Mus musculus: one gene and its partners. The protein of the gene in region 2 interacts with the protein of the main gene of each other region in a pairwise test. Links are inferred from orthologs where the notes say so. Each region holds a gene or a part of one and is shown on either strand. Other genes may lie near its edges. The genes, in order: Saxo1, Stk16, Kctd14, Plscr3, Miip, Efemp2 and Trim42.

Evidence for each region.
Region 1: the proteins of Stk16 (region 2) and Saxo1 interact in binary tests that used the Homo sapiens proteins (3 or more experiments, as listed by UniProt). The two-hybrid records come from large-scale screens. The link is inferred for Mus musculus from reciprocal best matches to the Homo sapiens genes STK16 and SAXO1.
Region 3: the proteins of Stk16 (region 2) and Kctd14 interact in binary tests that used the Homo sapiens proteins (3 or more experiments, as listed by UniProt). The link is inferred for Mus musculus from reciprocal best matches to the Homo sapiens genes STK16 and KCTD14.
Region 4: the proteins of Stk16 (region 2) and Plscr3 interact in binary tests that used the Homo sapiens proteins (3 or more experiments, as listed by UniProt). The two-hybrid records come from large-scale screens. The link is inferred for Mus musculus from reciprocal best matches to the Homo sapiens genes STK16 and PLSCR3.
Region 5: the proteins of Stk16 (region 2) and Miip interact in binary tests that used the Homo sapiens proteins (3 or more experiments, as listed by UniProt). The two-hybrid records come from large-scale screens. The link is inferred for Mus musculus from reciprocal best matches to the Homo sapiens genes STK16 and MIIP.
Region 6: the proteins of Stk16 (region 2) and Efemp2 interact in binary tests that used the Homo sapiens proteins (3 or more experiments, as listed by UniProt). The two-hybrid records come from large-scale screens. The link is inferred for Mus musculus from reciprocal best matches to the Homo sapiens genes STK16 and EFEMP2.
Region 7: the proteins of Stk16 (region 2) and Trim42 interact in binary tests that used the Homo sapiens proteins (3 or more experiments, as listed by UniProt). The two-hybrid records come from large-scale screens. The link is inferred for Mus musculus from reciprocal best matches to the Homo sapiens genes STK16 and TRIM42.

What each region holds. Positions count from the first base shown.
Region 1 is NC_000070.6:86,555,320-86,559,463, forward strand, and holds the start of Saxo1 (stabilizer of axonemal microtubules 1), read right to left. Parts: upstream 2,985-4,144; 5' UTR 2,697-2,984; coding exon 2,656-2,696; intron 1-2,655. UniProt on the Homo sapiens protein: May play a role in the regulation of cilium length. Stabilizes microtubules at low temperature.
Region 2 is NC_000067.6:75,209,284-75,213,791, reverse strand, and holds the start of Stk16 (serine/threonine-protein kinase 16), read right to left. Parts: upstream 2,964-4,508; 5' UTR 2,740-2,963; exon of another isoform or gene 2,634-2,739; intron 2,553-2,633; 5' UTR 2,464-2,552; coding exon 2,378-2,463; intron 1,868-2,377; coding exon 1,648-1,867; intron 1,193-1,647; coding exon 1,059-1,192; intron 907-1,058; coding exon 786-906; intron 680-785; exon of another isoform or gene 660-679; coding exon 564-659; intron 217-563; coding exon 95-216; intron 1-94. Other genes in the region: Glb1l (beta-galactosidase-1-like protein precursor), read left to right, coding at 4,352-4,411. UniProt on the Homo sapiens protein: Membrane-associated protein kinase that phosphorylates on serine and threonine residues. In vitro substrates include DRG1, ENO1 and EIF4EBP1. Also autophosphorylates. May be involved in secretory vesicle trafficking or intracellular signaling.
Region 3 is NC_000073.6:97,449,950-97,454,210, forward strand, and holds the start of Kctd14 (BTB/POZ domain-containing protein KCTD14), read left to right. Parts: upstream 1-1,384; 5' UTR 1,385-1,535; coding exon 1,536-1,597; intron 1,598-3,170; exon of another isoform or gene 3,171-3,362; coding exon 3,363-3,513; intron 3,514-4,261.
Region 4 is NC_000077.6:69,845,237-69,849,505, forward strand, and holds the start of Plscr3 (phospholipid scramblase 3), read left to right. Parts: upstream 1-1,380; 5' UTR 1,381-1,455; exon of another isoform or gene 1,456-1,671; 5' UTR 1,672-1,832; coding exon 1,833-1,839; intron 1,840-2,098; coding exon 2,099-2,337; intron 2,338-2,420; coding exon 2,421-2,463; intron 2,464-2,566; coding exon 2,567-2,787; intron 2,788-2,977; coding exon 2,978-3,139; intron 3,140-4,269. UniProt on the Homo sapiens protein: Catalyzes calcium-induced ATP-independent rapid bidirectional and non-specific movement of the phospholipids (lipid scrambling or lipid flip-flop) between the inner and outer membrane of the mitochondria.
Region 5 is NC_000070.6:147,865,871-147,870,214, forward strand, and holds the start of Miip (migration and invasion-inhibitory protein), read right to left. Parts: upstream 2,850-4,344; 5' UTR 2,499-2,849; intron 550-2,498; 5' UTR 488-549; coding exon 365-487; intron 145-364; coding exon 1-144. Other genes in the region: Fv1 (Friend virus susceptibility protein 1), read left to right, coding at 3,109-4,344.
Region 6 is NC_000085.6:5,477,682-5,480,230, reverse strand, and holds part of Efemp2 (EGF-containing fibulin-like extracellular matrix protein 2 isoform 1 precursor), read right to left. Parts: coding exon 2,547-2,549; intron 2,305-2,546; coding exon 2,188-2,304; intron 2,031-2,187; coding exon 1,911-2,030; intron 430-1,910; exon of another isoform or gene 413-429; intron 202-412; coding exon 82-201; intron 1-81. UniProt on the Homo sapiens protein: Plays a crucial role in elastic fiber formation in tissue, and in the formation of ultrastructural connections between elastic laminae and smooth muscle cells in the aorta, therefore participates in terminal differentiation and maturation of smooth muscle cell (SMC) and in the mechanical properties and wall integrity maintenance of the aorta.
Region 7 is NC_000075.6:97,359,811-97,363,527, reverse strand, and holds part of Trim42 (tripartite motif-containing protein 42), read left to right. Parts: coding exon 1-642; intron 643-3,717.

The DNA of each region.
Region 1 (4,144 bases), on a different chromosome or scaffold from region 2:
TTTTTTCTTTTATTGGATATTTTCTTTATTTACATTTCAAATGTTATCCCCTTTCCAGGTCTCTCCCCCATCCCATCCCTCCTCCCCTGCCTCTATGAGGGTGCTCCCCCACCTACCCACTCACTCCCGCTTTCCAGTCCTGGCATTCCCCTACACTGGGGCATCAAACTCCCACAGGACCAAGGGCTGCTCTTCCCACTGATGTCCAAAAATAGAGGCCTTCCCCCACTGATGAGTATCATGTACTACAGGTGAGATCATATTTAAGGAGCTAGCCATGGTGACACATGCCTACAATCCTGGCAGCAGCAGGGCTGAAGCAGGAGAATCATGAGTTGAAGGCTAACCTGGACTACATAACAAAACTCAAAAGCCAAAGAAACGCTGGGAATAGTAATATGGGCCTCTAATCCCAGGACTTGGGAAATGGAAACAGAAGAAACAGAAGTTCCCAGTTATACACAGTGTGTCCCAGGCCAGGCTGATCCGGGGTCTTTTGGAAGAGCAGACAATGCTCTTAGCTACTAAAATAGTTCTCCAGCCCTCAAGTGGCTGGAGGAAGTTGGGGAAGCCCTCAATTGTAATTCACTGAAGTAAAATGGCATCATGTGGCAAGCACTGGAGACAGCACCACTCCAGATTGTATGTCCCTAACGGACTCCACAGATCCCACCACCATCCTACAAAGGTGTGTTCTGACTACTCAACAGGTCAGTATCACAAAGCATACAAAAACAGAGCTTGGCTGTTCCAGAGCACACCATCACTAGATATGAAGCTGGCATACACATAGCTAAAAGACCATAGGAAGTGGGGTCCTACCTCTGTACTAGGTGGGGTCTATAGGACTGAGCCAGACGGGAGTCTTATAACATGAGCAAGATCTTAAAAGGTTAGGAGGCAGAAGAAGGTAGACGCATTTTCAAAAAGGGGAAAAAAGCAAGACAAAGGAACCATGAGTGGAGACCAAAAAGTTTGCTTTGAACTCTGAGATGCCCCATCAAAATCACAGGAAAAAAAAAAAAACTAAAATAGACTAAGCAGGCAGGAGGGAAGACTGACCAACATGAGAGTCAGACCCAAGGCACGTGACAGAACCGTAAAGTAGACACAGGAGGGGGAGGCAAGGAAGGCATGCCAGAAAGACTTTATATCCAGTGGAAGGAGCAACTTTGCAGGGTGGGGGAAAAAGAGAATCTGAGGACATCAGATAGGAATGGAGGTGTCATCTGACTCTACGTTCCTCACCCCTGATGAGTCCCCGTCTTCCTAGACTACATACTGTGCAAAGATGGGACTCAAAGACTTCAACCCCACTCTTCTGAGAGCAGAGATGGAGCCAGGAGTGATGCAAAAGGCCCCACAAGGAAGCAAAGTCTTAGAAAAAAAAAACAAACTGAATGTTCGGTAGTATGAAAAATTAGCCCTGGACACTGGCTGGTCCCACCTGACAAACCTCGAAAACAAGAGCCACACTTGTAGGTAGCAGAGCTCAGAATTCTGGGAAATGGCAGTATCTATCTGGAGTCTGCTGATGGGACTGTCCTTAGAGATTGCTCATGAACAGCTGGAGCAATGACACCTATTTTAAAGTTCCCAGTCCACTCTAATGAGCACTGATTCCTGAGAATTCAAAGTCTTCTGTTTTCAGAGTGTCCTCTTAACCTATTCTCCCAAATACAATAATTTTGTTATTTCATGTAACATATGTAGCTGTAAAATCCTTTGCAGATCTTAGGGTATTAACAGAATAGATAGAATCCATGTGCATAGACATACACCCTATCCCTTCACTTGTAATAGTCCTGTGAGGAGAGTATTCCTAGGGAAATTTGAATGGGGAGACGTTCGGTTCCTAGCCCAGATCCCACATTTAGTGACAACCCCAGAGGGCTAGTCCCCGAGGCCACTCCTTTCACTTGGTCTTAGCCAGAAGCCTGGGAAGCAAGTTTATGTACTGCCCCTTCTGCTATCCCCTGGCTGGCACAGCCCTGCAGTTCCCTAGCTGTCCTGGCAAAGCAGCCAGAAGGACCATCTCAGAGACCGCAGCCCAACGTTCCTCTCCAAAACCCTGCCTTCACTGTGCTTTGCACCATCATGGCCCTGAAGACAAGGGGCAGAAAGGCATCCTGCCCAAAAACTACAGCGAACTCGCCCCTGGATTAGCTATTTATTTCAACACTGCAACAGTTGGTGCCCGTGCACTATGGCTCCCAAAGTACCAATTTCTGTAAGTGAGAAACTCACCCACACAAAAGAACTATTGTTCTAACAATTGCAACAGAAGAAACAAGACCGGCCCCAGCCTGTCCAGGGTTTCCATCATGTCTTAACAGCATGTAGACAAGGCTGGGCCCAGCCCACTCTCAAAGTGCCTGAATCTCTACCCTGCAGAAAACACACACGCGCACACACACACACACACACACACACACACACACACACTACCTGATCAGCGCTGATTCGACATGTGTGCATCAAATATTAGTCAACAATGTTGCAGTTTAAAACCCGAATCCAGTGCGATGCTGCCTAGCGAAGCAGCGGGATGAAGAAGACACATCCTGTCTTCGTTCCAGGAAAGGGGCTTGGCACCCTAGGGAGTGTGAAAATCAGGCTCCCCTCCCCAGATTGCCCTTGGGAGGACTACCTTACCCGCAGGAGCACAGGTTGCAGATGCAAGTCCTCTTCCCCATCCTTCACCTCGGACTTTCCACTAAGGCAATCGCCTAGAGGATCCCAGCTGCCTGGGACAACGATCACACTTCTTCGGTGCCTTGACCGATGCTGTTTTGCTCAGAAGGAAACTTAGGTGGCCCTTTTGCAAAATTCTGTAGTCTATTCCTTTCCTGAGGCTGGCCTTGGGCAAACAGGCAGCACTTAGCACAGACAGCAAGCCAGGCCGGCTCACGTCTGTAAGCTGCTGCCACTGCGGCCAGTGGGAAGCACCCACCTGCCAGCACAGCCTGGCCCCTGCAAGCCACAGGGCCCAGGACTGAGTCCTCTATGACCTTCAAAGTCACAGAGGAGGGCATCTTGAGGTGGCAATGACATCATAAGGGCCTCCTGTGAGGTCAGACTTCACCTAGTATCTCACCTGGCAGACCCAAGACAGGGACTCTCCCACTGGAACTTGGAAGGAAGATGGAAGATACCTTGGAGGGCTTTAGGAAGCCTCCGAGTCCCAGAGTTAACCAACAGCACGGTCACATAATGCAAAGACAATGAAAAGTATCTTGTCGGGTGGCACTTTCCATCCCTAGGACACATTGTCCGTCTGGAGGAAATGCATGCCCGGACCTCCAGAATATTGACCCTGAATTCCATCTCCAGATCTTCCTGGAAAATCTATACCTGGCTGCCTGCATCTTGGAATTGCTTTCAACCACAGGCCTCTGCTTTTGAGAACAAAGCAGCATGAGAGGGTCCAGCCCTCTATTGCTCAGGTAATGACGCCTAGAAGCAGGGACGTCTCAAATGTTAGCAGCATCAGAACCTCAAGGCTTGACAAAAATCAGATTGCCAGACCCCACCCTGAGTTTGTTGTTTCTGAAATATGGGTTCCAGAAAACACGTGTCTCTTACAAGTTTTTAATGATGCTACTGATGCTGGCCCAGAGCCCACACTTCAAGGAGCGCAGCTATGGAGCTTCTATTGTGGCCTCTGACCTCTCTTCCCTAATATCTAAGCCGGTCCTGAAAACCACTGCAGACCTCTGCCCTGGAATCTCCTGTATCAAATAACCACCAGTCAGAGCACATGATGGCTTCAGCCTGTGATCCCGGCACAGACTGAGGCAGGAGGGTTGCTGCAAGGTCAAGGCCAGCCTGGGCTACAAAGTGAGACTTCACTCTATTTCAAAGCAGTGAAAACAACTATTCTGGGAATTGTGTTTTCACAAGATAGCAGCTTACTCTGACAATAAAACAAAGTCAAGGGCCTCTGCTCTCGAGCTGGGTGTGGCAGCACAAGTCTAGAATTCCAGCATCTGGGGCAAGGAGGCAAGTTCTGGGCTACATGGCTCTCCCTTTCTCAAAAGCAAGCAAAAGAAGTGCGGTAGCATACCATACAGTCTACTACTATAGGAGAATGTTTGGACTTAAACATTACTGTTTCTTTTTGTTGCTTTTATTTATTTTATTT
Region 2 (4,508 bases):
GACTGAAGGCCACCTAGAACTGCTAAGATTCCAAATTGGCCAAATCTAAGCAAGAGTCTACAATGCTTGGCGTCCCTCTCTTCTTCCTGCTCACCTGGGGCTTTGTGGGATGCTGAGTTCATTCTGCACAGCAAGGGCCACACTGTCACCCTTCTGGAACACCATATCGTAAGGGCCTTCCCCAAACATCATGGCATAAAGCACACAGCCTAGGGACTGAGCATAATTTGGTTAGTTCCTGGAAGGTGAAAAATGTCATCTATCTCCTTATTGCTATGGTAAAAGAAGACCATGTAAGCTAAATATATGCCAACCTCACCCAGAGGAACCATGTTGGCAGGAGGGAGGCCTCTGTGGCCCCTGCTTAGCTAGTGCCACAACGATTGCACGGCTTCCTGAGAACAGTATCAGTGATGGTTCTCAGGAAGGAAGTAGACGGTTGTGGAGACATCCTGTGGTTCTGGGGTTCCATGCAACAGAAACCAAAGGTCTCCTTCCCTGTACTCCAAGAGTTACAAAGCCACACCCTTCCCCACCCAGGTTCCCACCCACAAGCTCCTCACCCAGACATCAGTCCGCTCATCGATGACACAGTGGCTTTGCACAGAAAAAAGTTCAGGTGCCCGGTAGGAGATGGTGCACCGCTGAGCTGCCCAGTCCTGGAACAGTGTCCCCAGAGCTCAAAAGTGGAGCACAAGCCATATCATGTGACCAAATTGGTGCATGCATCAGAATGATCTGGGGATGGGGAGGAGATGGCCAAAGAAACCAGGAGACTCTCTTACCTGAAGAGCTAGTGCCTGGCGAGAGCCCTCCACTTGAATGCATGCTTGATTCATAGAACCCAAGTCCATTAAAACTGGCTGCCCCTCATCACCAAGCAAAATATTGGTGGGCTTCAGGTCCCTGGAGGGAAGTGAAAATGACCCAAAGGCGCCCTGGGCAGGGAAGCTGGTATCCCAGGGAGCACCATGGAAAGTGCAGAGAAACCCCAATTCTCTTGGCACTGCGCTCCCTCCCCACTGGCTTCATCAAATGCATAGGGCCCGCCCACTGACCTGTGTGCATAACCTTTGGCATGAATAGCCTCAAGGCCTCTGCTGATACCCAGCAACAGCGGCAGGATCTGGTCTTCAGTCAGGAAGCTGCCTTGGTCCTTCAGCCTTTCTATCTCATTCCACAGTGTACCTTTCTACAATACAAGTTTCCCTGTGCTGAGACATTTTTCAAGCCTCTACTTCCCAGGACTCTATTTTGTATCTGTCTGCCCACCCTTTTACCATAGCCACTCTTCCTGATCCTTTGGGGGCTTTGTGTGATGTCAAGTTCACAGGGGACCCTATAGTCCTCTGAGCCCCAACTTAAGAATGGCCAAAACTAGCCAGGCAGTGGTGGCGCATGCCTTTAATCCCAGCACTTGGGAGGCAGAAGCAGGCGGATTTCTGAGTTCGAGGCCAGCCTGGTCTACAGAGTGAGTTCCAGGACAGCTAGGGCTATACAGAGAAACCCTGTCTCAAATAAACAAACAAACAAACAAAAGGCCAAACCAGGGCATGTGCTCCTAGAATGTTTATGTTTGCCTGCCCAGAGCCTCTGGTGGGGTTGCACAATGTTACAATCCCCTCTGTAAGTACAGGCTTCTCTGACCTTGAAGAAGGGCAGCAGCAGCCAGGCTTCATGCTTAGCACCTCGTTCTTTCAGAGAGTAAGCCATGAGGCGAAGGATGTTGGGATGCTGGAAGAGGCGATGCATCTCTGCCTCTCGTTGGGCTTCTTCCTGGTCTTGCTGCTCATGGCACAGGATCCGCTTCAGGGCGTAGAAGTGTCCATCATGCAAGCCCTCCACTAGGTCCACATAGCTGAATCCACTGTGGGCCAAAGGGGTCACAGTGAAGGACCATGGTCATCTCTCACATAGCTCGGACCCAGAGGAATTCCCTTAGGGAGGAGTGCCTCTTACACAGAGTGGAAACACTCCCAAGATGTAGCTCTCATATAGTTTCAAGACATTAGGATCTGCGTTTCCCGAGAGCAGGGGCACAGAAATCACTGAGGTTTTGGTCTGAGCATAATGTGTTCAATTAATTTCAAGTCCTCATGAGTCAGGCACTGGGTGACATGCTTTAAAGAATATACTATCTCACTGAGTTTCCACAAGTCCCTCAGCGAGACATTATAATCATCTCCTTTTAAGCAGAAGAAACCACAGTTGACTTAAGGTCACACAAGGTAGATCCAGGAGGCCAGAGTCTAGAATCCACTTCTTGACCCGTTCAGCTAACCGGTCAGGTGGGGTAGACTCTAAGGCTAACACTCTTGCAACTCTATCACTGTCTCTAAACGACCTGGGTCTAGCTAAGTGACGTCCAAACACTCACCCTTCCCCCAATTTCTGGACGAAGAGGTAACGCTTATTGTCAATGATGACAGTTCCCCGGGAGCAGACACACAGTGCGTGGCCCATAACGTCTCAGTCATCCTCTTCAGGGATGGTCTTCCTTCCAGGGAGAGTGGGCTCTTCCAGGCGATGCGGTGGGGTCCCGGCGGGTCATGCTGGAATGGAAACAGCAAGTCGCGGGTTCAAGAACAATCTAGACAGCCACGGAGGTACCAACCAGGAGAGCTCAGGCTCACCTCCAAGAACCCATATTCACGTCTAAAGAAAACTGGCCCTGGCGACTCCAGCGCTAAGAAGGCTGAGTTCTGGCACCCCAAAGCCTCAGGCCACGCTGCGTCTTACCAGGCCGCTTCTTTCAACCCCGGCCCACCTTCGGCCAGGTCCAGCTCTCGCACCCGTCAGGCATGGGGTGGCGGCGCAGGAGGTGCGGGGCTCGAGCCCACCTCTGGCCGAGTCCACCCTCCGTCGCTCGGGAACGAGCACAGGGTCTGCCACTACAAACTCCACACCGACCGGTCTCCGGCCTGTGCGAAGGGCCAGGGACCGGAAGCCCGGATGACATCATCAGTCCGCGTCGAAGTAACGGCCCGCTGTATCCTAGCAACAAGAGGCGGCAAGAGGATGTGGGGACCCGGAAGTGAGAGGCTGGGGCCCGGCTAGACCTGGGGTGTATTGGTTTCTCTATCTCGCCGAGGGTTCCCACTTGGCCCTCAGTAAGGGTCAAGACGCAGGGACTAGTACCAAAGGGGAGCAAAGCAGGGCTCTGCCCGAGGCCCCTAGGACCTCTGTCTCCCAATGTCAGAGGTAGGAGGTCTTATAGCTCCCGCGCGCTGGAGTTAGAAAGTGGCTTTCTACAATCTAGCTTGGAGGAGGGACCAGAGAAGGGCGGGTGCTGACCCTTAGATGCCAAGAGGTCTGACCCCTTAACACTCTCAGGGGTCTAGCCTGTACTCCACTGCCTTGGCTAGTGTCTGTGTCCTTAAACTAGAGTGCCCGTTTCTAAACCTGGTCCTAACAGTCTCCTAGCTGTGTGGCCTCCTGCAAGTTATTTAGTCTTTCAGATCCTCACTTTTCCCAGCTGTAAGACAGTACCTACGGCTAAGTGTCGTGAGTTATGAGGCCAAACTGACTAGTTCCAATCCCAGCTCTACTGAGCTAGTTGTGACTTTGGACAGCTACTTGTTATTTCTAACCTTCATTTTCCTCGTGTGTAAGATGAGAATGAGAGTTATTTCATGGGTTGTTTCAAAATTAAATGAGTTGTCTTTCGTACAACTTTGGAAACAGCCGTATATCAATGTGTGTCAATAAACAGAAATAATAGTATTTTCTACGGCTGTGAAGGCAGGAGAAGTGGAAAATTAGACTTCTAAGCCTATGAACTATGCAGTTTGTTTCACATCTCTTGCCTAGACAGGCAGAATATATTGGAAAGGGGTGTACCTCCAAAAAAGATAGTGACCAGGACAGGCTTCTTGTAACCCCTTTCCACAGCATGATCACTCTGAAGATTTTCTAGGTTTTTCCACTGTTTCTGAATCCGTTTTAACCTTACTGCTCCCGTGCATATAGATTTAACCTGATATGTGCCGGATCCTTTGCTAGTCATGAAGATTTAAGACACCCTGTCAGCCCTCCGAGAGTTCAGTTTAGAAGAGCAGGTTTGTTAAAGCACAGACTCTAATTCTAGAGGTCTGGGGTAGGACCCGAGATTCTGCGTTTCTAACAAGCTCCCAGGTGATGCTAATGGAACTGATTCGGGTTCAGCACTTCGAGAAGTAATATTTTACAAACTAGTGGACCGTGGATGGCTACAGGCAAAGTCCGGGTTAACGGCCTGAAAAGTTGAGGTGGTCTCCGCCCCTTTGCTTGATGTCGGATTCCCTCCCAGGAATCCAACACGTGACGGGTGGGAAAGCCCTCACCGAATAGAAGAACTTTGTAAGCTCAGAAGATGCCACCCGACCTGCCTTCCCTGCTGCTGCGGCTTGTGGTCCTACTGCTGCTGTCCCAGGTAAACCCAAAGGGTCGGACTGTCTGCCTGGGTGTGGGGAGAGGAAAACGGATCCCGCAGTGGAGAAATGGTTAACTACCGACAAGGCCAGTTTTAA
Region 3 (4,261 bases), on a different chromosome or scaffold from region 2:
CTTCCACATCACTCATCAATAAAGAAAATCCCAGCAGGGCAGTGGTGTCGCACGCCTTTAATCCTAGCACTTGGGAGGCAGAGGCAGGCGGATTTCTGAGTTCAAGGCCAGCCTGGTCTACAGAGTGAATTCCCAGACAGCCAGGGCTACACAGAGAATGCCGATAAATGCAGATACAAACTTGCACGAGGATGGTTTGCTATACTCGTTATGGTTTTCACCAGCAGATCCCCACTACATGACTGCTGTAATACTATTCTATTTTTCTTTTTATTATTTTTAACTGTGCGTGTTTATGGAGCAGCATGTATATGTGTATGTACATGTGCATGTGTATGTATGTGTGTAGAGGCTAGAAGACAACTCAGGTGTCATCCTGTCTGTCTTTACACAGGGTCTCTTCTTGGTCTGGAGTTCATCAATTAGACTAGACTGGCAGGCAGGCAGGCCCCAGGGATCCTTCTGTATCTATTTCCCCAGCTCTGGGATTACAAATTGTACCACTATACTGAGTTGTTGATTTTGGCTTTTGCTGTCTTGTATTGTCTTGTTTGTTTATTGTTTGCTTGTTTGGTTTTGTTTTGTTTCTGTTTTTCTTTTGAGATAGGATCTGGCTGGCCTGGAACTCGTTATGCAGAATAGGCTGGCTTCTGTCTCATAGGGATCCCCTGCCTCTACCTCCTTGGTGTTGGGATTAAAGGCATGCACCACCACACTCAGCCATAGTGAGTATTTTTAATGGCTCTACTGAGACACCTCTCCAGGCTTACTTTTTTCTTGTCTCTTTCTTCTCGTGTTGTTGGGAACAAGCAAAAGAAATTTATTTTAAGTACTACCATTTCACTTTCAGACTCTTTTAATCAAAGGGAGAAAAATAAATTCAAGGTCCCAGGCCTTAGGGCAGCTGGGGACTTCCCAATGGCTGAACATCTTCTGTTATACACAGTTGTCTGAGTCCACACATCTCAGGGACAACCTGTCCATCTTGCTGGCAGGTCAAACAAGTTCATGCTCCCAGGCCTAGGAATGAACACCTATCCCACTTCTGTTTTCTCAATTGTCTATTACCTGGTAAAGAATACAGAAAGTGCATACATTCTATAACTGCATAAACAATTGCCTGTTCTGCCCTAATTGACTACGTGCAGCCAAGCAGCTCCTTTTCCCTTATCAGTCTGGGCTCCGGACCTAATGTTTAGGAGAGTGAATCAAGGACCTTGAAGCCAGGTGCTTGGATGCAGCCCAGTCTCTGATGGCTACTCCCTTGTTTAACCCACAATGTCACACACAACTAGATAACACTGCACCCCCCCCCAGCCCCCATTTGCTTTGTGTTCCCATCCTTTAAAGATGGTGTACAATCCCTCTTCTCAGACATGTTTCAGATCCAGAACTGGCCACCTCCTTGAGTGCTCAGAAAACAAAGCTTTCATTTTTAAGCTTCCATATCTGAAATGAGTTTTCTCAACTTTTACCCTGAACCCAACAGTGTATCCCAAGCTGGCCTAAAATTTGCTATGTAGCCAAGAATAAGGATGATGTTGAACTCTGACTATCTTCTCTTCCTGCCTCTACCTCCCAAGTGCTGGAATTACAGGTATGTGTGCATGTGGGGTGTGCATGTGCCTGTGGGTGGGTGGATGGGGCTAAAAGAGGGCATCAGCTTCCCTGGAGCTGGAGTTAGCAGGTAGTTGTGAAGATCCTGATGTGAGCGCTGGGAACCAGACTCTCCTCCTCTGAAAGAGCAGCAAGCACTCTTAACTGCTGAGCCATATCTCCAGCCCCCATCTCTCTTTTTAACACATAACATTGCATGGCACAGACAGACTGTGATTTAGTCAACTGTTAACTATCTAATTTTGCTAACACAAACAGATCAGTGGCAAATACATTCACCCACATACCCTTCAGAACGGTGCTTTTTGTTATCTCTGTCGGATGGAGTCCCAAAAGTAGGGTTCTTTCCCCCACCCCTTTGGTAGAGATGGCCAATTAATGTCTAAAGGTCACAGCAGTTCATATTCCAATCAGCAAGGTTTGAGCACCTGTTTTCCTTCATCCCCACAAGTTCAGGCATTTTGTTCTTCTATTTTCCAATTTTCTTGCCTAAGAATAGTATACATATACACCGTTGCTCCTTCAAGGGCGTTTCCTGAGTTCCTTCTCAACTGCACTTATGATTTATTTCGGCTACTTGAGCTTTTCATTTTTGTGGGTCTATTTGACTTTTAAAAATCTCCGTGGTCTTTTTAAAAATTCGTACGTCCTTGTTCTTTACTCATGTCTAAGTCACTCTTTGGTTTTTGTTTTGTAGCTGTGTGGATGGGACTCCGGGCCTGGTGCACGCTAGGCAAGCGCTCCACCACTTAGCCGTGCCTGCAGCCCAGTGTGCTCAGGTTTTAGATGCTTGCTTTTATTTGTTTAATGACATTAAGTAAGCTCCCACTGTATCCCAACAGTCTCAGCACTAAGGGGCCCCCACAGGTTTCTGTTGACTTTTCCCCCTCTGCCTTGTTTCCTTTTGTGCTTTGTGGTTTTGAGCTGTGGGTTTGTTTGATGAACTGCTTGCTATCTGTGTACATTCTTTGAAACTTGGTTTAATTATACTTCCATTCAGGGAAGGTTTTGTTGTCCCCTTCTTTCCTTCCTTTCCTCTTTCCTAGTGGGGTGCCTGTATGTGTGTGTTTTGCTGGGGGTCAAACCCAGATGTCATACATCCTAAGGGAGTGTGCTACCACTGAGCTATAGCTCTGCTTCAGTTTTTATTTTTCTTTGCCAAGTATTAATTTGACTACCTAGTCAGTTTCATTTTTGTTAAATTTCTGGTGGTCGTCCCTGCTGCTGACCACACTGAGCCATAGATCCATCGGGGTTCTCCCCTGTAGCGTAAGTATTTTTAAAGAAGTCTTTTCTAGCACAGAACTAAGGAATAAAACAGACAAGTTTCACAACATCTATCTTTGAGTGGCAGATGGTTTTCTTCCAATTTACTATTTTATAGTCTCTGGTCTGACATCCTACCCTCAGAGAGCCCCAGGATTCGTCTCCTAGTTCCCCGTTTCTGAGAAATTACAGGTTACTTGAAGTTGATGGCTGCCCAAAGAACCAATGGGGTCCGTGCTGGATGTCTCAGAACATGTCCTTAAGTCTTTAATCCAGCTAAATGAGCACTAACTAGAAGAGTTTTACCAAAGAGGCCAAGTGGGAGGTACAGACTTAGAGTTCCTCAGGGGCGGGGTGTCAGGAACCTCTCCGGCTGGTAAGTTATCTACACGTGGCAGGACTGTTCCCTGCCCATAAGTTATCCACTCAAGACAGCGTTGTGTACCCAACGAGAGCTGAGAGCCGTCTTTTCCTGCCAGGATGAGCCTGCCCGCAAACCAGATCAAGGAGCCCGGCAAGCAGTCTCAGCCCGCAAAATCGCTCAAGGAACCCAGTCAGGAGGCTCTGCCTGTAAACCTACTCAAGGAGTCCAGCCAGGAGTCCCGGATCCTGTGCCCTGACCCGGCCATCGTAAGTGCACCCCTGCGTGGCCGCTGCTCTGGTTGTCCTGAACACCCCACCTCCAACCCCTGCCGGCGCTTTCCTAGCTCCATTCCATTATCTGCCCCCTATCCTCTATTAGTCCCGCACACACCCCCAATCGACACCCTCCCCCGCCCCGCCCCTCCACGCTCTTCTCCGGAGTTTTCTCTTTTGTGCCTGTTAGTAAACTTCTTTGCTACTTGTGCATTCCCGCCTCTGGCTCCACCTAGCTCTGTGCAGTCTCTCATTTGCCCTTTTCTCCCCTGCTCTCTGTCTGCACTTAGTCTGCTTTAGTTCCTGCGTGTGTTCCTCTGAAAACCTCTAGCTTGGTGTAGTCCCGGAGGTGGAGGGTGGGGGAGGTGGCTCCTTCGGTCAGTCCAGTGGCTCTGCCACCTGGTAGAGGTAGCATATCCAGCCTGCCTGGACAGATGATTTTCTCTGACTCCCACACTGGCCAGCTCCAGCACTCCCTCTCTGCTTACTGGCCTTCTCTCACGGACTCCCTGGACTTTGGGAGAAGGAAGAAAGACTAAGGGAAGGTGATGAGGCCAACACTGGAGATTTTCTCAAAGCTGTGCTAGACCCCAAGAAGGAAGTGTGATGAAGACTATACATGTCCATACAGGAAGACACAAACTCGGTTTTAGTTCATTGAACACACACTCAAAATATCTAAATACTCCAGTCATGCCCAAGATTTGGCTCAGTAGCAGAGGCAACTTGCTAGCCTTGGGAG
Region 4 (4,269 bases), on a different chromosome or scaffold from region 2:
CTTGTTGGTAAGACCACCCATTGCTCTGTGCTCAACCTTACACTGAAGTGGGCTTATTTGGCATTTGGGGACAGTTAAAGCTTCCTTCCGCTCATTTGCTGGGTTTTCAGCACTAGTAAGAAGTACCCCCAAAGGAACGGGATCTTAGAGGTGAAAGGTCAACAGAGAGACCAAGATATATGAAGCCAGGGATTGCACGGGCAGGCAGTAAATGACATAGCACAGCAAGGCAAGGGGGAGGAGGGGTCTGTGCTGTGCAGAAGGGTCTCAGAGGCCTAGCATGACTCAACTTGCAATTTTCTCCTTACATCCTATCTCTGAGGCATAATGAAGTCATGTTCCCTCATATACACATCAACACTGCCTCACTGCCCTGGTCTCTGGTGCAATCCACCACAGTAGGACCAGATTTCTGTAAGAACCTCTCCCTTACCTTGGCCTGCCCACAGCCTCCTGGGTTGTTCTGACACAGTAGTTCTCAGTTTAGGCTGTACAATAAAAACTAGAATTCTAAGAATCCCTAGTCTGCACCCCAAGCACTAATATACAATTGATAGGAAGTTAAGACCCAGGCACAAGTGATGGGCTAGTTTCGGCTTTGTTTCTTTAATATCTCCCCTAGTGACCCAGGTCACTCCCAAGCTGACCTGGAACTCGCGATCCTCCACACCTGCCCAGATACTATGCTATCTTCTTTTGAGGAAAGGAGTCTTTTGAGAGAGTCTCCCTATTGTAGCCCTGACTTGGTCTGGAACTATGTAAAACAGACTGGCCTCATACTTGTGACTCTCCTCTTGCCTCTCCTTTCCCAAACGCTGGGATTGCATGTTTTGCCTCCATACTGGGGAATGGAGGGCCTGTTCTGTTCAAGTGTCTTTCCCTGAGCCTTACCTCATGCACATTCATTACTGTTACCTTTTGAAAGTCTGTCACGCGTGTAATGGGCGTGCCTGAACTGAGAGGTGACTGAGTGGGTCAACGCTGTGACAGGGGGAGAACACAGCGAGGTCGCCCTGAGAAGAACACCGAGCCAAGTCTGGGAGGCAAGGAATGAGTGTGAATGGTGTTCCGCTGCGTCAGCGAGGCCCGCCCCGCCCTTGGGAGGAGGATCCCGGGGACCGGAGCAGCCACGCGGTGGGGAGGCAGAGCAGCAACCCGCGGAAAAGGCGAGGGTCTTGCTGCTGGGGATAGGGCCGCAATCACCCTCCAACAGGCCAGGTCTCCAAGCCTCTGCAGTCGGAGCGGAAGGGGCGGAACCACGGTGAACAAAGCGCACAAGGTCCAAGGTCCGCGGCCCCGGGGGAGGAGAAGCGCCTGCTTTCTGCGCAGTCGCCCCGCCCGGACTGGGGGGCGGGACTTAGGCGACCCGGGGGTGGGGTCAGATCTGGGCCCGCCTCCACCAGCGCCTGTGAGCCCCGGAGTGCGTGGCCCCCCGACTTATTCTGGGGGCTTCAGGTGAGCCGGACCATAGAGGGGTTAAGGAGACTTTCCTCGGGGTCAGGTCATCTGTCTGACCTCAGGACCATCTGCCCTGCCGTCTGCCAACAGCCATCTCCGTAGAAAAAATGGGAGAACAAAGGGAGGGGGCGGTCCTGGGGCCCCTAAGAAAATTCAGGGTCCTAGGTACCCCGCCCCGCCCGCTGACACTTTCGGTTTCTCCCCGAGTCTTAGGTGCCGCCCTAGAGACCCTGGGCCCGTACTGGGCGCAGCTACCTCTTCGCCTCTGCCTGTCCGTCTTTGTTTCTGTGTCTGTCTAGCTGTTCCCGAGCTTGTCCCACTCCAGAACTAAGTCTCCCCTACGCCAAAAGCCCAAGACTCCCCTCCTGATTCCCATGGCAGGTACGTTGACGCTAGGTTGGGGTCTCCATTATTCCCCCCTGCCCCCACGAAATTGGGTGCCGGGTGTCGAACACATTCTCCAGGAATGTGCTCAGACTGGCTGCGTGGGGCCCTCCCTTCCTCCTGGGGAGCCACCGCCCTGCCCCTCCGCCCCATCATTCTCTGCCTCTTCTTACGTTTTCCGCGGGTGCTCCTGGTCCTTGGGCTGTGAAAGAAGAGTCCACAGATAACTTTCTAATCTACTCCTGCTCCCCTACAGGCTACTTGCCCCCCAAAGGCTATGCCCCTTCACCCCCACCTCCCTACCCCGTGCCATCTGGGTATCCAGAGCCGGTGGCTCTGCATCCTGGACCGGGACAAGCTCCAGTGCCCACCCAGGTGCCTGCCCCTGCTCCCGGCTTCGCTCTCTTCCCCTCGCCAGGCCCAGTGGCTCCAGGGCCTCCTGCTCCTTTCGTGCCATTGCCAGGGGTGCCTCCTGGCCTCGAATTCCTAGTGCAGGTGAGTGAGAGAGAGGATGGCTGGGAGGAGAACTGAAGTTCGAGGTGACGGATAAGGTCAACGCTGCTCTTAACTCTTTACAGATTGATCAAATCTTGATTCATCAGAAGGCTGAACGAGTGGAAAGTGAGTAGGAGATGGATGGAGCAAGATGGGCTTCATGATCTTTATGGCAGTGGTTAGCTTCTGGGCAGGTGGCCCCCGAGCCTCAGCGTGTTGCCCTTCCCAGCGTTCCTAGGCTGGGAGACCTGTAATATGTATGAACTTCGCTCCGGAACCGGACAGCAACTGGGTCAGGCAGCTGAAGAGAGCAACTGTTGTGCCCGCCTGTGCTGTGGTGCCCGCCGACCATTTCGAATCCGCCTAGCGGACCCTGGGGACCGCGAGGTGCTCCGGCTCCTCCGCCCACTTCATTGTGGCTGCAGCTGCTGCCCCTGTGGTCTTCAGGAGGTGGGCATGGCAGGTTTTGGGGTGGTTGGTGGGCAGTGTATGGTAAGCAGCGCAGAAAGAGTTGTGGCTTTAATAGGAGTGGGGGCGGTTTAGTTGAGGGTCTGAACAGTCAGAAGACAGCTGGCACCAGTGAAGAGCGCTGGCCAAGGTGTCCTGGCTTGACAGTAATCCTGTCTGCTTCCCTTTCCAGATGGAAGTCCAGGCTCCACCTGGCACCACCATTGGCCATGTGCTACAGACCTGGCATCCCTTCCTTCCTAAGTTTTCCATCCTGGATGCTGATCGCCAACCTGTTCTACGAGTTGTAGGGCCTTGCTGGACTTGTGGCTGTGGTACAGACACCAACTTTGAGGTATTATGAATTAGGGGGCGGTGATTTCTAGGCTCTTCACAAACCAAGATTGGGGGCGATGAGCTGGCTCAGAGGGTGAAGGTACTTGCCACCAAGTTTGACAACCTGGGCCCTAGCCATGAGTCCCATATTGTAGAAGACAGTTCCTGCAAACTGTCCTCCCCACACACATGCCATGGTGCACGCAATCAATCAACCAAGCAATCATTCAATCAGTCAATGTAATTAGAAAAACAAGAAGAAAAGGCAGTAGCCTCCGTGCTAACGGATGACTTAAGGTCAAGACCTGTCTGAAACCAAAAATGTCTTCTTCAGTCCAAGACTGCATGTTCCCTACAGCCCTGCAGGGCCTTAGGGAGCATCTGAGGCCAGCCTGCATCTAAAGTGGAGGACTGTTATCTCCCAGTCTTCCACTGCATACATTTGCCATGGGCTCGACCCAGGTAGCCCCTGTGCTTATCTGTAAGCATAGACCCTTTCATAATTTAACCCTTGGCTTGGCCTGGAAACCTAGAAGTCCAAATGACCCATCTAACCAGAAGTCCAGGTGATGTCCTTCTCCCAGAGACTTCCTCTCACCAACCCAGGACCAGAGGAACCCAGCTGGTAAAGACTCCAGAGTGAGGGTTGGGAGACTCTCTGGCTCCTAGCACTGCTCGGACTCTTGAGTTCTTTAAGGGATGAGTCCCCATTCTGATAAGGGAGAAACAACAGGTTTCATCCAGTAGAGGTGCTTCACCTAAGGTTGCCTTTTAAAAAGTGAGTCACCTTAGTAGTCAGAGGCAGTTTTTGTGGCCGAGAACCGGTTGGAGAGGAGATAATTGTGTGATCTCCGCGATGGGAATGTGTACGCTATGGGGTTCTCAGGGAGTCAGTGTCCCTTTCACACAATCCTGAATGGTCCATGCGTGAGGCACACTCTCAGGACTGCAGAGTTGGCAGCAGTAGACTTTGCTGAGCCCGGGACTAGGCTGCAGGAAGTTCCCTGCAGCTGCAGGAAGAGGCAGGAAGAGGATGAACAGGAGGTAGAAGGAAATTACTTCAGTTCTAGTCACTGGACCAGGAAGTCACTGAGATACCACTTAGTTTCACATGCCTTGTTATTGCGGAGCTCCAAGAGGCCAGCGAGA
Region 5 (4,344 bases), on a different chromosome or scaffold from region 2:
CACATCAAACGTGTCATCTCGACGACTGTCCAGTGGGTCCAACATGTGTCTTTTGTCCTGTGAGCTGGGGGCCACTGAGGAAGCGGAAGAAGTCTCTTGGGACAGTGGCATCTCTAAGTTGTTGCTGCTACAATCCAAGTTTGACTGTAAGAAACAGGTCAGGTTACCCAGGCAGCAGCCCAGCCAATGCCCAGGCACTCTGGCTTGCTGTGGACCTTGTAATTTACCCTGCTGTGGCTTTGGGGTATCCCAACCCAGTCCCTTCCTCCCAAGGCCTCAGTTTTGCACCGTCAATGAAATGGGTGCATCACAGCATAAACTGTCTTTCCTCGACACCTGGGCATTACCAAGTTTAGCCACCTACCCCTGATGCTGCTCTCACCACCGACCGACACATGGCTTCGTGCCCAGCCCAAAGCTGCTTCAGGAGCTCCAGGCTAAGCAGCCGAAGCCGAACGGGGTCTTTAGTCTCTGCCATATTGGGCATGCGGGCTTCTCACAGTAATGTCACTGTCTCTGGGCTGCAGAGGTGCTGACCCTAGGTTCCACCTGAAGTCAAAACAGCAATGACAAGAAAAATGAGGGAGGAACCCTGCCACACAGGCCTAGATTAAGATCATCACCCTGCAGCCTCACCCTGTTTACTTATTATCCTCTCTGCTTCCTTGCCTGCCAAGAGACGACAACTCCCACTGGGCCTTCCCTATGTAATCTAATTCCTGGGGCCTGTGAGACGTCTCAATAGATAAAGGTGCTTGCTGCCAAGCTTGACGATCTGAGTTCAATTCCCAGGGCCTACAGAGTAGAGAGAACTGACTCTCATGAATTGTCTTCTTACCTCCATACATTCATGGGTCAGGGCATGTGCTTGCCCTATACCCACACATATAAGAACTTATTTTTAATATTAATCTGACTCCTTTATCATATAGAAAAGACTAGTGCAGCATGCTAATTTAAAGCTTAATGACTTGTGCTATTGTGCAGGGCAGGGGAGTTCGACCCTGAGTGGTGACAGTTAGGGGGCTTTTAACAGCTAGCTGAGGAATTGGGAGGAGTTGGGAGGAGAGTTGATAGGAGTTAGGAAGAGTTGGGAGGAGAGTTGGGAGGAGTTAGGAAGAGTTGGGAGGAGTTGGGAGGAGAGTTGGGAGGAGTTAGGAAGAGTTAGGAGGAGTTAGGAAGAGTTGGGAGGAGTTGGGAGGAGAGTTGGGAGGAGTTAGGAAGAGTTGGGAGGAGTTCTCTTCCGGGTGTCCTTGGTGAAATTTACAAGGCAGGAGTGGGGAGTGAGTTCTTTCTGAATTTTTATCTCCGTGTCATTGGCACAGGAAGGTAGGCATCTCTGGTTGTAAAGTATAGAAACAAAAAGGCTTTTTGCTGGCTATAGAGAACAAAGAGCTTTTTTCTGGCTGCATTTTTAGAGATCAGGGAAAACAAGCTTGGGGAACGTCTAGGGGCTTTACCTTCCAGGGAGAAACGCTCTAAGTCGGGGTCTCATACTATCTGGAGCTGGCACTGAACCCAGAACTGGAAGCATTAAGCCTTTTTCTCTGCCACAAGTCTTCTCCTGGTCAATTCATTTCTTTGCTTTTCTTTCTTTCTTTCTTCCTTTCTTTAATTTGCATGTATATCCCAAGGTCACACAGCTACTAAATGTCAAAAGCAGGGTTTGAACCAAAATGTAGGTTCCTGCTTGTTGTGCAGTGGCTACTTCCCCTGACTTTCAAACTTCTCCCTGATGGTGGGAGGAGAGAATCTCTTCAGAAGGCTGCAAATTCCTAGAGCTCCCTCCACAAGGTTGATTTAAACTATGTCCAGGGGAGAGCATTCTCAGATGGAGCTGCCTGAAAGCTGCGCGGGGGTGGATCAGAACCCGTGCTCGGTGGGACTGTCAGTGATGTAGCTGCCTTTGGGTCATGACCCCAATACGTACACTCCTTGGTTCACCCAGCCACACTTGGGTGGAATCGTTTCTCTGTTCTGTTGGCTGTGCTCTGGGGCAAATAAACCTTTGTTGACACATGACTCCCTATGAAGGGTCTGCACGGAGGAAAGCATGGCCCTGACTGGGACACAAACCCCACCCCCACCCCTTCTCCGGCCAGCTTTGGTCCTCAAAAATTATACTCAGGGGCTCTCTCTCTCTCTCTCTCTCTCTCTCTCTCTCTTTCTCAAAGATTTATTTATTTGTTCGGACACACCAGAAGAAGGCGTAGGATTCCATTACTGATGGTTGTGAGCCACCATGTGGTTGCTGGGAATTGAACTCAGTGGTTAAGAGCACTGAGCCGTCTCTCCAGACACTTTCTTTTGCTTCTGGAAGAGATGTCTGCAATATAAAGAAGCACTTCCCACTTCTCTTACAACCCCAGCCCAGACTCCTCCAGCCGAATCAGACCCCCCTATCCTTCCCAGCCCTGCCACCCTACAGGCCCCTGGAGACTTGGGTTTCGGAGCAGGCTGCAGGGGGCGAGCAGAGAAGACCCCAGCATCTCACTCACGCGCACTCAGGCAGGGTGCACACCGGGGCCTAGGCGCTTGCCCCTTCTCTACCGGTCTAGCGGGACGAAGGCACGCCTCTGTGGTCCCGAGATCAGCGGCTGCCATGGATAAAAGGACGCCAACGCTCTCCGCCCGAAAGCCCAGATTCCCAGCAGCCGGGGAATCCGCCTCCAGCAGGGGCGGAACCTCCAGTGGTTGTCCTAATTGGCTAAGGCTGGGGCGGGGCCTCCGCCGCTGTCCTGCTCGGCCAATTGACAGTGCCAGGACGCCTTATATTTGTTTCTTCGCATCCGGAAGCGGCAGTTTCAATATGGAAAGGAGGGGCTAATGGGACCTCATTGCTGATTGGTTAACTGTTAATGCTAATTCTACCAATTCAAATTGAGGACAGGCTCTGGTTGGTCAGTAGTACTCGGTTACGCAATTTCCGGATGTAAAGTCTCTAATGGCAGTGGATAGGTGGGGCTAGAGACTCCGGCAACTTTGACCTTTTCACGCGGACCCCACACTAGCAACTCCCCAGAGTGCTTTTGCCAGGGACGAACTGGAATTTGGATCCGAGGCTTGTAGGACGCAGTAGCCGAGTTCTAGGGAAACAAAAGTCTGAAGATGAATTTCCCACGTGCGCTTGCTGGTTTCTCGAGCTGGCTCTTCAAACCTGAACTTGCCGAGGACTCTCCGGATAATGACTCTCCGGATAATGACACTGTTAACCCATGGCGTGAGCTGCTGCAGAAGATAAATGTGGCCGATCTCCCCGATTCATCCTTTTCGAGCGGTAAGGAACTTAATGACTCTGTGTACCATACTTTTGAACATTTCTGCAAGATTAGGGACTATGACGCAGTTGGCGAGCTGCTTCTGGCATTTCTGGATAAAGTAACAAAGGAAAGGGACCAATTCAGAGATGAAATTTCCCAGCTCCGAATGCACATAAATGATCTAAAGGCTTCTAAGTGTGTCCTGGGGGAGACTCTTCTTTCCTACCGCCACAGGATTGAAGTTGGGGAAAAACAGACTGAAGCCCTCATTGTGAGGTTAGCTGATGTGCAATCCCAGGTCATGTGTCAGCCTGCCCGGAAAGTGTCTGCAGATAAGGTGAGGGCACTGATTGGTAAAGAATGGGATCCGGTAACCTGGGATGGAGATGTGTGGGAGGACATAGATTCTGAAGGGTCTGAGGAAGCTGAGTTGCCCACTGTCTTGGCCTCTCCATCCTTGTCTGAGGAAAGTGGTTATGCCTTGTCTAAAGAACGCACCCAGCAGGACAAAGCAGATGCCCCTCAGATCCAGTCTTCAACATCCTTAGTTACTTCTGAACCTGTCACCAGACCCAAGTCTCTGTCTGACCTTACAAGTCAGAAACACCGCCATACTAATCATGAACTCAATTCACTTGCTCACTCAAATCGCCAAAAGGCAAAGGAACATGCTAGGAAATGGATTTTAAGGGTGTGGGATAATGGTGGGAGGCTCACAATACTGGATCAGATTGAATTTCTCAGTTTAGGTCCTTTGAGCCTTGATAGTGAGTTTAATGTCATAGCCCGCACTGTTGAAGATAATGGTGTGAAGAGTTTGTTTGATTGGTTGGCTGAAGCATGGGTCCAGAGATGGCCTACTACAAGAGAGCTGCAGTCGCCTGACACCCTGGAGTGGTATTCTATTGAGGATGGGATTGAAAGGCTTAGGGAACTTGGAATGATAGAGTGGCTTTGTGTAAAAGCTACTTGTCCACAGTGGAGGGGCCCGGAAGATGTACCCATCACGAGAGCTATGAGGATAACTTTTGTCCGGGAAACTAGAGAGACTTGGAAGAGCTTTGTATTTAGCCTCCTCTGTATA
Region 6 (2,549 bases), on a different chromosome or scaffold from region 2:
TGCCAAGGGAGGTGGAGTTGGACTCTAGGACTCACAGTAAGCTCCCAGCCGCTCAACTCCTGCCCACCCAAGCACCTGTACCTTGGCAGAGCCTTGTAGCCAGCAGCTGGTAGCCTTGTGGGCAGTGACAGGAGAATCGGCCTGGCTCGTTGACACAGCGGTACTGGCAGAGGTAACTGGAGTAGCCGCACTCATCGATATCTGAGGGAGGGCGGGGATGAGGACCCTGGGCCAAGGGGAGGCCTCACAACTGAGTCCCACAGACCTTGACCAAGAGAGAGGGAGCCCAGCACCCCCATAAGGATGGATGTGGGAAGAGAGAAGGAAAGAAGGAGACCCACAGTGCTCAAGGGGGGCTCAGGTTTCAGAGGAAGGTTGGGGGCTGGGGATAACTCAGTGGTAGAGTACTTGCCTAACACGCTTGAAGCTCTAGGTTCCATCCCAGCAAGGAAAGGGAGAGGAAAAAGAAAAGAAAAAGAATAGAAAGGTTTGAAGCTTGGCATGGTGCTATATGTCTATAATCCCAGCATTTGGGAGGTAGAGGCAGGTGGATTATACCAAGTTAAAGGCCAGCCTGGTCCACATAGGAAGCCAAGCCAGGATTATATCAAGATCAAGGCCAGCCAGGGCTACATAACAAGACCATGCCTTGAAAAACAAACAGTGGGGTGTTTGATCCCAACATCTGGGAGGCAGAGGCAGAAGCAGGCAGATCGGTTTGAGGCAGCCTGGTCTACTACATAAGAGACTGCAGGCCAGCCAGGGCTACACAGTGAGACCCTGTCTTACAACAAGGAATCTTCCAGCATGCGGAGCACCTCTCTTCCCCAGGACTTTAAGACTTAACAAAGCATTCGCCTAACATAGTGGCCTGTGCCTTTGATTCTAGCACTACCCAACAGATCTCTGTAGACTAGCCTGGTCTACACAGAGAGCTTTATAACAGCCGGGGTTACATAGACTCTGTCTTAAAAAGCAGCAAGAATCTAGAGGCTTGGGCCTAAGTCCTACTAACCCATTTTAGAAAGGGTCCACATTGTGCCAGTCAAATGAGCAGGTGCCCCAAGGGGATAGCCGCTCTGTTCTTTTCAAGTCTTGCAATATGCGGTCAGAATGCCCAGACTTGGGCTAAGTGTGTGCCCCCCACCCTACCCCGAGCAGCATCCTATCTCTTTGCTTTTGTTCCTTTCACACAGCCGAACACCAATGATCCTGTGCTTCCCGGTAAAGCATAAAGTAAATGAGGGCATGCCAGGTAACACAGTGAGACGCCTGGGCTCACACCCCAGCCCGGCTCATCTTTCCCCTCTGAACTTGGACAGTCATGTCAATCTCAGTAAGTGGAAAGATGAAAGTCAGTACTTTCTCTGACCTCTCTGCTTGCTTTCCACAGTTCTGCCAACCTGGAGGAATATTAATGTCCTGTTTTACAAAAGTCAATCATCCCTGGCCAGACTAAATGAGACTGAAAATTTTAAGTGATAAACAAATGGTGCTTCCCACTATTTCTGCCTGAGACTTGATGAAGCCTGTTATCACTGCCCCTAATACTCAAATAACCTGTCTGCAGTAGACATGTGCCCAGAAAGAAGAGAAAACTTTCCCCAGTGTAGGATTCCAATGCAAGTCAACTCAACTTTCAGGAAGACTGGCACCTCCATCTTCTCTGTCTCTCTGGCAAGCTTCAGAAGCCCCTAGCATAGCATCCCCTCAAGCTGGGAGTGCCAAACGACAAGCTCAAGACGGAGCTTAGGGAGGCCTGTGAGTGCAAGGAGACGTGCGGAAGCCCCAAGCAAATGACCATGCGCCTGGAGTTGCTCCAATATGTTGCAAGTGCTAAGGGAGGCGGCAGAGGGGGGGGAGGCGGGGGGGGGGGGGATGCTGTATCCAGTAGCACAAGTGACTCTCACCGCTGCAGGAGAAGCCATCCCGGTGCAGCTCATAGCCCTGGTTACAGCGACACAGGAAGGTCCCATAGGAGTTGAAGCAGCGCTGCTCACATGGGGCTCCCATGTCACACTCATTCACATCTGAGGGTGCGAGGACAAACAGGAGGGTGAGAGCAGTGTCACGCCCAGACCCCCCCAAACACACACACACACTCAACTTGGGCTCAAGAAGAAGATCCTGCCCCCACGTCACACATCTCCACCCAGGATCCCAGAACCTTGTCTGGCACAGCCTCACCCACACAAGAGCGGTTGTTAGGTCCCAACTGGAAGCCTGGCTCACACTGGCATCGAAAAGAGCCCGGCAGGTTCACACATCGATGCTGGCAATAGCGGTAACGACACTCATCTATGTCTGAGATGGAGGTGGGGGAGGGAAAGTAGAACACAGGCCAGGTGGGGCCTGAGTTGGCTCACCTCGGCAACCACCCCTGCCCGCCCTCGTCAGCGAGCTGGGCTGAGTCACCCACATTTAATCTTCCGTGTCTAGTGACAGGAGTGCACTAGTAGCAGAGGACTGGGGTGAGGTAAGGCATCAGACCAGGAGCCAGACCAAGGTCACAGAACAAGAACCTAGCAGAGCCACTCAGAACTCACCCA
Region 7 (3,717 bases), on a different chromosome or scaffold from region 2:
AAAGAAATTGAGAAATATGTGTACATTACGACCATGAAAGTGAACGAAATGGATGGCCTGATTGCTTACTCCAAAGAAGCCCTGAAGGAAACAGGACAGGTGGCCTTCCTGCAGTCTGCCAAGATCCTGGTAGACCAGATTGAGGAGGGCATCCAGAATACCTTCAGGCCCGACCCTCAGCTGCGGCTTCACTCCCTACACTGTATCCCCTTGGATTTTGCTGAACTCTCCAATGCCATCCACGAGCTCTTTCCCACGGGACCCAAAAAGGCTTGCTCCTCTGGGGACTCACTCCCTTCCCAGTATCCTATCCACTCAGAAATGATGATCGCCAGGAAGGTGACATTCAGCACCCATAGCTTCGGCAACCAGCAGATATACCAGCGGAGCTCTTCCTTGATATCCTTCAACACCGCCAATGACAAGGGCAAGATGGGTCTGGAGAACTACGGGAGAGCCCAGTCTGCCGCGCCCGCCAAGACGACTGACGGCCTTTACACCTACTGGAGTGCCACAGGGGAAACCCAGCCCCCGCAGAGCAGTAACAGCTTCCACAACTGGTATTCCTTCAACGACACCTCTGTGAGGACCCCAGGCCCAATTGTCATCTACCAGACACTGGTGTACCCAAGAGCTGCCAAGGTATGACAAAGGGAAGGGTGAAGTACAGGGCAAAGAATAAAAGAGAGAGGTCAGAGAAGGTTGCCTATACTGCTTTGGCCTCTAGAATGTGGTCACTTGAGTCTACTCCTCTAGACTCTTTATAGTCAACCTAGTCAGTAGGGTAGGGTCCTGAAATGTCAATTAATCCAGTCAGTGTATTGAGAACATAATGATAAGTGCGTGTAAATCCCAACCCTACTTGATGGGCAGCCTTTCTATTGAAAGAAACACAGGCTAGGAAGAAGGCTCAGTGGGCAAGAGGCTTGTTGTGCAAGCATGAAGAACTGAATTTGCATCTCCATCACACATGTCAAAGCCTGGTGTATATCTGTGCTTCCAGTGCTGGGGTGGCAAAGGCAGGGGGTCCAGGGTCTTCATGATTGGCAGGGGATCCAGGGTCTTCATGATTGGCAGGGGATCCAGGGTCTTCATGATTGGCAGGGGATCCAGGGTCTTCATGATTGGCAGGGGGATCCAGGGTCTTCATGATTGGCAGGGGGATCCAGGGTCTTCATGATTGGCAGGGGGATCCAGGGTCTTCATGATTGGCAGGGGATCCAGGGTCTTCATGATTGGCAGGGGGATCCAGGGTCTTCATGATTGGCAGGGGGATCCAGGGTCTTCATGATTGGCAGGGGGATCCAGGGTCTTCATGATTGGCAGGGGGATCCAGGGTCTTCATGATTGGCTAGTCCAGTGGAAACAGTGAACTCCAGCTAGATGACAGGCCCTGCCTCAGGGTTAGGTAGGTAAGTAGACAGACAGACAGACAGATTTATAGATAGTAGAATATGGGAGAGAGAAGACAGTAGAAGACAGTGTCGATTCCTGGTCTTTACAACACCAGAAGGAAGGAAGGAAGGAAGGAAGGAAGGAAGGAAGGAAGGAAGGAAGGAAGGAGGGAGGGAGGGAGGGAGGGAGGGAGGGAGGGAGGGAAGGAAGGAAGGAAGGAAGGAAGGAAGGAAGGAAGGAAGGAAGGAAGGAAGGAAGGAAGGAAGGAAGGAAGGGAAAAGAAGCCAAAAAGAAGAATCAAGTTGGAATTAAAGTTTCAAACTGGCTTGGGAGGTCATGGAAGTATGGGGAAGAGTCCAGGACTGAATTAGGTGAGCAGTCTCTGCTGTCTGCCAGCTGTGTGTTCCTTTAAACTGTTATTTCTCTTAGATCCAGGCTCCCTGGGGTTTGAAAAGATTCAGATGACCATCCCAGAACCATTCCAGTTCTCTGCTGAGATCCATCTTCTGTCTTAGGGGTGATATGGAAAGTGGAGTGTCTTACAGGTCTCCATGCCTGCATCACCTGTGACAGCACAGGCTACTGGCCATCTTAACCTAACACTGAACAAATACTCTTTGCCTTACTGTCTCTCTGAAATCCAGCTGAGCCTGAATTGAATTGCCTATGGAGTATGTTATTTAAACTCCAAGAGGCAAAAGGGTTGCTGGGCAACTGGAGTTTCTGGCCTCTTTTGAGGTTCCTGCATGGACACACCTCCCAAATTACTTCGTGGTCTGCTTCCATATGGCACGGCTCATCTTTTATCCCTTTCTCAAAGACAGTAGGCATCTTGAAATGTGAACTAGTGGTTCCAAGCACTACCATCTCCTGCAGACTTGTTAGAAGGTAGATTCTTTGTCGTTGGATTTCCAGGCCTGAGAGTCTAGCTCTCACAAGCTGCCAGGTATTGCCAATGCTGCTGTCTGCAGACTGCACTTCAGTAGGTAGGGTCTAAACACAAATGAAGATCGGACAGAGACCAGGTTTTACCTTCTCCCTCTGTGAGACATTGTAATGCTTCAGAGGATAAACTAGTACCACAAGAAATGTGCCAGGTAGAACAGCACCCTCCTGGAGACCATCAAATACAGCATGGTGCCCCTCCCTGTCCTTCACACAGAAATGGGGTACGGGTGACATCAGTGAACTCTGGCCACGCTGTATCTCATCTCATTGACACCCCCTGCCTCTCAGAGAGTCCACAGCCCCTGTTCTGAAGCAGAAGGGCTGGTGGGGTCTGCTCCGTACTTGGACTTGGAGAAGTCACATGCGCTGCATAAGAGTTATCCTTGGATAAGTTTGAGAGAAGGACACCTTCTGAGACAACCAAGCAAGTCACTGCCACTTCACCTACGGCCTGACAGTGATCTAATGTAAAATGATGACGATGATGATGATGTAGAAAATCCCTGTTCCAGGGTCGTAAAATGGGCCTTTTCCAGGATTCATTGTGCTCTACAATGAAAATAATTTAAGTCTATGTAGACAAGACTCCTAAATTTTCAGAGCTTCAGTATGGAAAATGTTCAAGTTGGTCTTAGAAGATTATTAGTATGTATTCCAAAACTCTAGAAATCTTTTGATTCAATTTGAATTTTAGAAATAATTTCTTAAGAACTGTCCTCCTCAAAAAAAAAAAAAAAAAAAAAAGGATTTATGCCCCAAAAATATTTGTTCCAGCATTTATCTGAGTACAAAAGCAGAAAAATCTAACTGCTCGACTGTAGAAAGGGTCAGTTATTTTAGAAACAGTGTTTTATATAGTTCCATTACATTTATTCATTTTATCTCTGTGTGCATGTGTGTGTGTGCGTGTGTGTGTGTGTGTGTGTGTGTGTGTGTGTGTATGTGTGTGTGTGAGAGAAAGAGAGAGAGGAGAGAGAGAGAGAGGAGAGAGGAGAGAGAGAGAGAGAGAGAGAGAGAGAGAGAGATGCCAGAGCATACATGTGGAGGTCAGAGGACAACTTTGAGAGTACCAGTTCTCTTCTTCCACTGTGGGGCTCCTGGGAATCAAACTCCAGGTTGTTGTCGGGCTTAGCAGCAAGCACCTTTACTCTCTGAGCCATCTTGCTGGCCTCTATGGGCAGTTTTTTTGACTGTATAAGACAGATGAACTGTAAGTTAAGAGAATAAAGCAGAGCCTTGCAATCCCAATCCCTGCATGAGTGTGCTTGCATCTCCCCCGGCAGGAGAAAGACTTACAGGAATCAATGTGTGGATTAGGGGAGATGTTTATTTTCTTCCCTTATACTTCTGTATTTCCAAAGCATGTTACCATAA